2 linked regions of the Caenorhabditis elegans genome follow. Changing the gene in region 1 together with any one later gene gives a genetic interaction. Each region holds a gene or a part of one and is shown on either strand. Other genes may lie near its edges.

The links. A genetic interaction does not mean that the proteins touch.
Region 2: of mut-7 (region 1) and hmp-2, a change in one rescues a mutant of the other (synthetic rescue), as found in Caenorhabditis elegans (one study listed by BioGRID).

What each region holds. Positions count from the first base shown.
Region 1 is NC_003281.10:9,540,646-9,544,400, reverse strand, and holds the start of mut-7 (Exonuclease mut-7), read left to right. Parts: upstream 1-2,020; 5' UTR 2,021-2,045; coding exon 2,046-2,235; intron 2,236-2,306; coding exon 2,307-3,123; intron 3,124-3,170; coding exon 3,171-3,308; intron 3,309-3,356; coding exon 3,357-3,551; intron 3,552-3,599; coding exon 3,600-3,755. Other genes in the region: eif-2Balpha (Translation initiation factor eIF2B subunit alpha), read right to left, coding at 120-272, 321-522, 582-763, 827-1,092, 1,145-1,259. UniProt on the Caenorhabditis elegans protein: Represses the transposition of Tc1, Tc3, Tc4, and Tc5, perhaps by degrading transposon-specific messages.
Region 2 is NC_003279.8:14,737,028-14,740,782, forward strand, and holds the start of hmp-2 (Armadillo/beta-catenin-like repeat protein), read left to right. Parts: upstream 1-1,854; coding exon 1,855-1,910; intron 1,911-2,541; coding exon 2,542-2,603; intron 2,604-2,660; coding exon 2,661-3,323; intron 3,324-3,430; coding exon 3,431-3,595; intron 3,596-3,755. Other genes in the region: K05C4.7 (Armadillo repeat-containing protein 1), read left to right, coding at 676-768, 819-1,595. UniProt on the Caenorhabditis elegans protein: Required for cell migration during body enclosure and cell shape changes during body elongation. Plays a role in recruitment of the cadherin protein hmr-1 to adherens junctions.

The sequences.
Region 1 (3,755 bases):
TCCACGTTATTTTTTATTTTTGTAAAAGAAAAAAACCAATCATAATTATAAAAAACAAAACAAGAACAAATTAATTTAATTTGATTGAATTAAATACACGTTCAAATAAATTTCTACCCTCAGATATACATTTTAATGAGTTCTTCTCCAACAGCTTCAGGCTTCATTGCGCCGACATCAGTAATGATCAGTGTCAGAAATTCGGGTGCGGTGTAATCCACATCGGGATGCTCCAATTCTAGGTTGTTTCTCTCAATTACTGATGTTCGATACTGAAATAATGAAAGATCTGATTGAGTTATTTGATATAAATTGATTACTTTGAATTCTTGGGGAATATCGGCCTGGTTGAGTGGGAACTCCCGTACAAACTTGATAGTTTCAGCGCAAACATAGACGGGAACATGCCGTGATTTTGCGATGATACAAACATTAACAGTTCCAATTTTATTGATGATTCCACCGGTTTCCATGACTCCTTCAGCGCCAACTAGAACTGCTTGAATTCTTTCCATGACATATCTTAAAAAATAAAAAATGTATATACGTTTTTCTTATTGTTTTTTATAATTTCCACTCACCCCACACAGCTATCTAGAACTAAAGTAGTTGGAACTCCATTCTTTTTCAATTCTTCAAACACTAGTTTTCCTGAAGCATCCGGTTGCGATTCGGTGACCCAGACATGAAGGTGATATCCACTTTTGTGAGCATCAAGAATAGTTTCCAGAACCACTTTGCTGTATGAGTGTGTCAGAATATTCTAGAAAATACAAAGATTAAAATACATTAAATAGGAATTATTTAAATAGAAAAAAAAACGTACCATATGATGAGTGAAAAATAGACGAGCGCACTTGGAAATTTTGGCTCGAGAACCTCTGACATTCTTTATAAATGAGCGTGCTCGTTGGCGATACAGATCAAGAACTTGAGAAAAATCTTCTTGATCGAGAAGAGCAGCTGGAGCCAGAGAAGTGAATCTGGTGAACAAATCAGCGGCACTTCGAATTGATGTTGAGCTGTAGTCCGTTTTCTCGAGAGCAGCAACTACTTGATTTAGCTCATTTTGAAATTCGGCAACGGTGGTGGCTGTAATTAAGCAAAAAATTAATTGCCTAAATATTCAAATTCAGGAACTTACCGCGACTCCGGTCTAAAACCTCGAGCAGTGTTTCCACTGTGGCTAGACTCGTTGATTTGCTTGGATCGTTTTCAAGTTTTCCACGGAAAGATGAAATAATGCTTTCTTGAACCATGTTAGATGGAAAAAGTCTGCAAAAACAATAATGGAGAACGTTTGTCGTAGAAAGAAGAAATATTTATAGAAAAAATTTAATGAAAAAATAATGATGTAAACGCGCTCTATCGTTACGCAGAGAAGATAAGAGTTAGAGAGTTAGACAGTTTTGATAGTGGCAAATTTAAAAACAAAACATTTTTTTACTTATGTATTTAAAAGGTTTCGTGAAATTTAATTTATTTTCTCAATCTCGAATAAACATTTTAAACATATTTTTTGAGTCAGTCAGTTTACTTTCTACTCTCAACTATTTACGCATCTAAAATCTCCCATTGTGTGGCGAACTAAATAGGATAATAAATAATAATTTTCCTTTTCGAAACTTTTATACTATAATTAATTCCCTCAATTTGCTCCATAATCTCCATTAATTTTCCTCGTGTAATTGCTTCGTAGATCATTTGAATCGCCGCCGTGATACAGTACTATTCGCTAACCTGCACATCTTAAATACCATCGACAATTTTTTAAAAATTCATTTTCCATTTTGTTCATTGATTTCTTGGTTCTTTTTCCATTATTTTTGCCTCAATTTGTGCAAAAAGTGCTGGATATCGAATAATCCACAACGCTTTTCTGTTGTTCTTTCGGTTTTTGGGCCGTTTCTAGATTTTCCTCTCCGTAATACGAATTCTCGTGGGGAAACACGTTTTCCTTGTTCTTTGATTAATTTCTTTTGTACTAACTTTTCGACAAATATTTATTTATACTTTTTACAGAATCAAGCTTGTCCGTTTCGAAAATGGAAGAAGAACCGTACAAAAGAAAGCTAACGAAAGCCGAGAAAAAGGCAAAATATCGAACAGACTACGCCGAACCGTTGAAGTCACGCCGGGAAGTTCTGAAAGCAATTATGAATGGACCCGAGTCTGAGCGGGAGAGAAAAGTTCGAGCCAAAAATCGAGAATTTTTCAACGAGGACTATAGATCAGGTAAACATTTTAAAGTTCTTTTATTATTAAAAACTTTAAAAAACCCTCATTCATAATCTATACATTTAAAGGAGTCAACATCTACGGAATGGCTGTGGATATGATGAAAGCGATGCCGGATAGAGGAAAAACATCGGGACAAAGTTTGGCGGTTTGGTATCTGGAGGATTTTGGAGTTTGGTTAAAAGAGTCGGGACAGGAGACGGAGCTCAGACAGAAATATCTGACTGGAACTATTCAAATAAACGCCTTAGATGTGTGCACAATTGGACAAAAGCAGCTTCTCAGTGAAATCTTCGATATCACCAAAGAGAAATTCACTGAGGACATTACACAGTTGCTAGATGCTGCCATCAAGAAACAAGACTTCTCCGTTGCTGCAGATATGGCTATTCAGTACAATCTTCTACGGGATCATCATTTCGAACATCTTGTTCTTCCATTAATGCTATCTGGCAAAGATCAAACGGCTTATAAATTGATAAGTAACAATGAGAGGATGCAACAGCAGCTTGTAGAGTTTTTTGATCGAATGGTTGGAATCTCAGTGGTTGCCGTTGAAGAGATGCTGAAACCCTACAAGGAAACCAAAATTATGACGATTCCTATGGAGAAATTGACGGGAAAAACGTTGGACAAACTCATTTCGACGATTATCAACAAAAATACTCACGAATACAACTTCTCCAGGGAATTGTCGAAGTTCGCCAAAAACCACTCACAGAATGGGAATCTGAAGGCATTGAAGTTTAATATCAGTGAACGATACGAGAAGGGAAAATCCGATGACAACTATTTCCAGCATATGGTTGAAACTTTTACCAAAGCCGAAGATGTTCGTGAACCTATTTTGTTTTACTTGTGGAGCTCAAATGACACCGAGAAACAGTAAGTGACATTCAAAAAGATTTTTCTTTCTAAAATTCAATTTTCAGAATAGATGCCATCTGCTTTGCTATCTACTTAGGAATCGCTAGTTCCAGCAGCTATCAACTGCCGAATGTTATGAGGGACTTCTTTCGACAACCTGATTCGAAGCTCAGAGAAGCAAAAGAACTTCTAGTGAGAAGAAAGTAATTGTTTTCGATTTCTTCGACTTTTTTAAAACCATTTTTGTTCAGAACACTGCAAGTTCCTCTAAATGGCGAACAATTATTCGTATTTGAGAATGAGCGAAGAACTCAAATCCACATGGTGAAAACTGAATCTGAGATGAATTACTTATGTTCCGAGATCAAATCACTAAGCGACGAGCCAGCACCTGTTTACGTTGGATTCGATTCTGAGTGGAAACCGTCGAATCTTACAGCTGTTCAGTAAGTGAACAATTTCATTCTTAAAATTCCATATGCACCGATTTTCAGTGACTCGAAAATTGCTATCATACAATTGTTCTTCAAAAATTGTGTATGGCTTGTGGATTGCGTAGAATTAGAAAAGGCAAATATGGCAGATGACTGGTGGCAAAAGTTCGCATCTCGATTGTTCGGAGATTCTCCTGTAAAAGTCGTAGGATTTGA
Region 2 (3,755 bases), on another chromosome or scaffold:
ATATTATTTAATCCCAACATTGTATTCAGTTTCATTGGCTTAGCAAGTTTTCGATTGAAAATTTTTTTTTTCAGCCAAATACCGATTTTTCATATTTTTTTCGCATTTTTGATTGATGTTTCTGTGATTATTGGTTTTCCTATGTTGTTTTAAAAGGGTTTGTAATGTATCTTCGCTGAAATGTTTGTTTCATATTCAAAAACGGCAATGTTTCCACTTTCCCACTCGGTATCTTTTAGTTTTCAGGCTGCAGCTTCAAAAAATTGAAAATGGCGAAAATTTTAGGGTGGAATTTGTTTTCTTTTTTTTTTTCATATTTTACATAATACTATTTTCGTAATTTATTTTTTTCCCTCAAAATGTGCATGATGCGTTAAATTTTTTTTGGCATAGACTTCGCGTCCCAAATGGCGAGTAATAATTATTGAGAAGGAAAACTGTGTGCGAGCCCTTTGCAAAATGTGTGCGCACCACTTGCGGTATGCCTCATCGTGTGACTCCGCCCACATTTTCTTTTGTTTCCATTTTCTCTTTTCCCCTCAATTTATCGATTTTTATCCACTTTTTGTTTTTCACATTTAGAATTGAGTATTTCATCGCTATTCTGGTTGTTTGCGTTAAAGTTTGTCGTTCAAAATCGAAATTTTCGTTAAAAATCAAGGTTTTTATTTCAGAATGACTGAAGTCGTAAATGCCGACAAAATAAAAACGATTCGCGCGTACTACAAGCTGTGCCAAAAGCCGGAGAATCGAGCAGTCGTGCTTAAGGTAAGTCGTTAGCTCACTCAGGATTCACATGAAAATTAAATTTCTTCCAGGACAAAACATTTTTCCACACTCTCCCAACGCTCCTCAAGGACGAAAGCTCCGATGTCATCAGATACACGGTTAAAATCCTCGTTTTGCTCACAGAGCAGTCGGGGAACATCGAGCAACTGCTGAAATCCGCAGATTTACTTCCAGCATTGTCGGAAGCCTGCGAAAATATCACAAATCCCAGTGTCAACTATAACTTGGTCCTTGTCTCGAGTAGGATTCGAGTAGTGAAGAATTCGCTGGATGCCAAAAGAGCCGAGAAAGAGCCTCTAGCCGATGCGATCAAAGAGCTCGACAAGGGCGGAACTCTTCACCGAAAATTCGTTGGAAGAAAGTCAAAGCAGATTATTATGGAATTCGATGCGGAGGAATTCGATGAAACGAAGAAGCTGTCAGTTGAGAGAGGCCTTCTGAAGAAAAAAGGAGTAATCAGTGTATATATAACCGAGCAGAACTCAATTCCACGCGCCGTGCTCCGCACAATCCCGACAATCGAAGCCAAGGACATTGCGCAGTCCGTTTTCGCCGCCGCCGGATTCGAGTACGTCGCGCAGTTAGTGAAAGTGAACGGAATCGACGAGAAATTCGAGTTTTACGCGTCAGAGATGGGCAAAATCACGGAAAACTCGAAAGATTACCCCGAATATTTGGATGATGATGTGCTTCACGTGGATCCGGCAAGTTGTGTGATAACTAATGAGATGGCTGCCCATGGAAGTGGTCAAGAGGGCGGATGGTTCAGTTCGATCACTTCATTCGTCAAAACTTCCCTCTGGTGATGGAAGGAATTCTCGGATTATCTCGGAAAATCTCGAAAAAAAATGTATTAAAGTACTACGGTTTCTTCTTTGTTATCTCAATATTTTCTTTTTTCTCCTGTTTCTCGTTTTTTTTGAGATCTCTTTCTGGTATTATCACCGCACAGGCATATAAATCGTTTCACACTGGTTTTTAAATCCTCGTATTCTTGATTTTTATGTGTTTTTAAGCTGTTTTAACCAGCTCTAATTATCTATTCGGCAGTTTCAGATTCGAAAAATGCGATTATTCTCATATTTGGACGGTTGCGGTACCAAAAATAGAGGAATTTATCGGTATAAAATATCCTTAAAAATCCAAAGTCCTAGTGAAAATCTTGTTTTTGCGTTTTCATCTAGTTTCCGATTCGAAAAAACCCATTTTTCTAAATTTTCTACCTGAAACCACGTATTTTGACAGTTGCAACACCAAAAATAGAATAATTTTCCTTTAAAATCGCCACAGAAGCACAAATTCCAAGTGATAATCTTTATTTTGCGTTTTCAGCTAGTTTCCGATTCAAAAAATGCGATTTTTCTCGATTTTCTACCTGAAACCTCGTATTTTGACGATTGCAGTATCAAAATAGTGGAATGTTTTTCAAAATAGCCATAAAAGTAAAAATTCCTTTTTAGCTAGTATCTGATTCGAAAAATGCGATTATTCCTCAATTTTCAACTAGAAATCCTATTTTTTTTTAAATTTTCTACTCTAAATTTCGATTTTTCGCACTTTTCCACTCGAAATAAATTTATTAAATTTAAATTTAATTTTAAAAAAATCTTAGTTTTTGTGGATTTTTCCTGTTTAAAATGACTTTTCTCTGCTCCCACATGAAATTTGATAGTTTCAGCACCTAAAATATCGAATTTCTTTGCATTTTCTCGTCTAAAACTCACCATTTCCTTTAAAAAGTATAATTTTCAGTAGCTGTGAACTCCCAACAACCATGCTTCTTCACTCTACCAACTCTTATTCGATATTCACTGGTAAAACACAAAAAAATACAATTTTTTCGAAATTTCTTCATTTAAATTAATTTCCAGACCATGAAGTCGAAACTCGAACCTCTAGAATCCGCTCAGCGATGTTCCCCGACTGGATTCCACCAACTTCTGCTGCAGAAGCCACAAATTCAACTACAAGCATCGTCGAAATGATGCAAATGCCAACTCAACAGCTGAAGCAATCAGTTATGGATCTTCTAACCTACGAAGGATCAAACGATATGTCAGGACTCTCGCTTCCGGATCTAGTGAAGCTTATGTGCGATCATGATGAGTCAGTGGTTGCTAGAGCTGTTCATCGAGCTTATATGCTCTCAAGGGAAGATCCGAACTTCTTCAATGCGCCGGGATTCGATCATCGATCTTTTGTGGAAGCTCTGATGGCTGCGTCGAAGAGTTCCAACGTGAATGTCCGTCGGAATGCGATTGGAGCATTGTCTCACATGTCTGAGCAACGTGGAGGACCTCTTCTGATCTTCAGAAGCGGAGGGCTTGCTGAAATCATTCGAATGCTCTATGATTCACTGGAATCAGTTGTTCACTATGCTGTGACAACACTTCGGAACCTTCTGATGCATGTTTCTGATTCCAGAGCTCAAGCGAGAGCTCTCAACGCCGTTGAGGCGCTAACTCCGCACCTTCATAAGACGAATCCGAAGCTGCTGGCTCAAGTGGCGGATGGGTTGTATTTCCTGTTGATCGGTAAGGATTCACTGGAAAAATCAAGAATTTTGTACAAATTTGCATTTTTTAAAGCTATAAATTCAAATTTTCCACTCTAAAATTTCAAAAATCGGTCAATTTTGCAGACGATGCTCCATCGAAGATCACATTCCTATCACTGTTGGGACCACAGATCTTGGTTTCGATTCTTCGCGAGTACTCGGATCATCGGAAGCTCATCTATACCGTCGTCCGTTGCATTCGATCCCTGTCCGTTTGTCCGAGCAACAAACCGGCGTTGATCAGTCTTGGTACATGGATGTTTTGATTAAAAACTATTTTATATCGCATTTTTAGAGATATTTTCAGGTTTTTATCCACTGAAAAGCTGGAAATTTGAGATTTTTAGCTGAAAATACTTGAAATTCGCAGCTATTTCGAGTGTTTTGAAGCAATTTTTAAACATTTTCC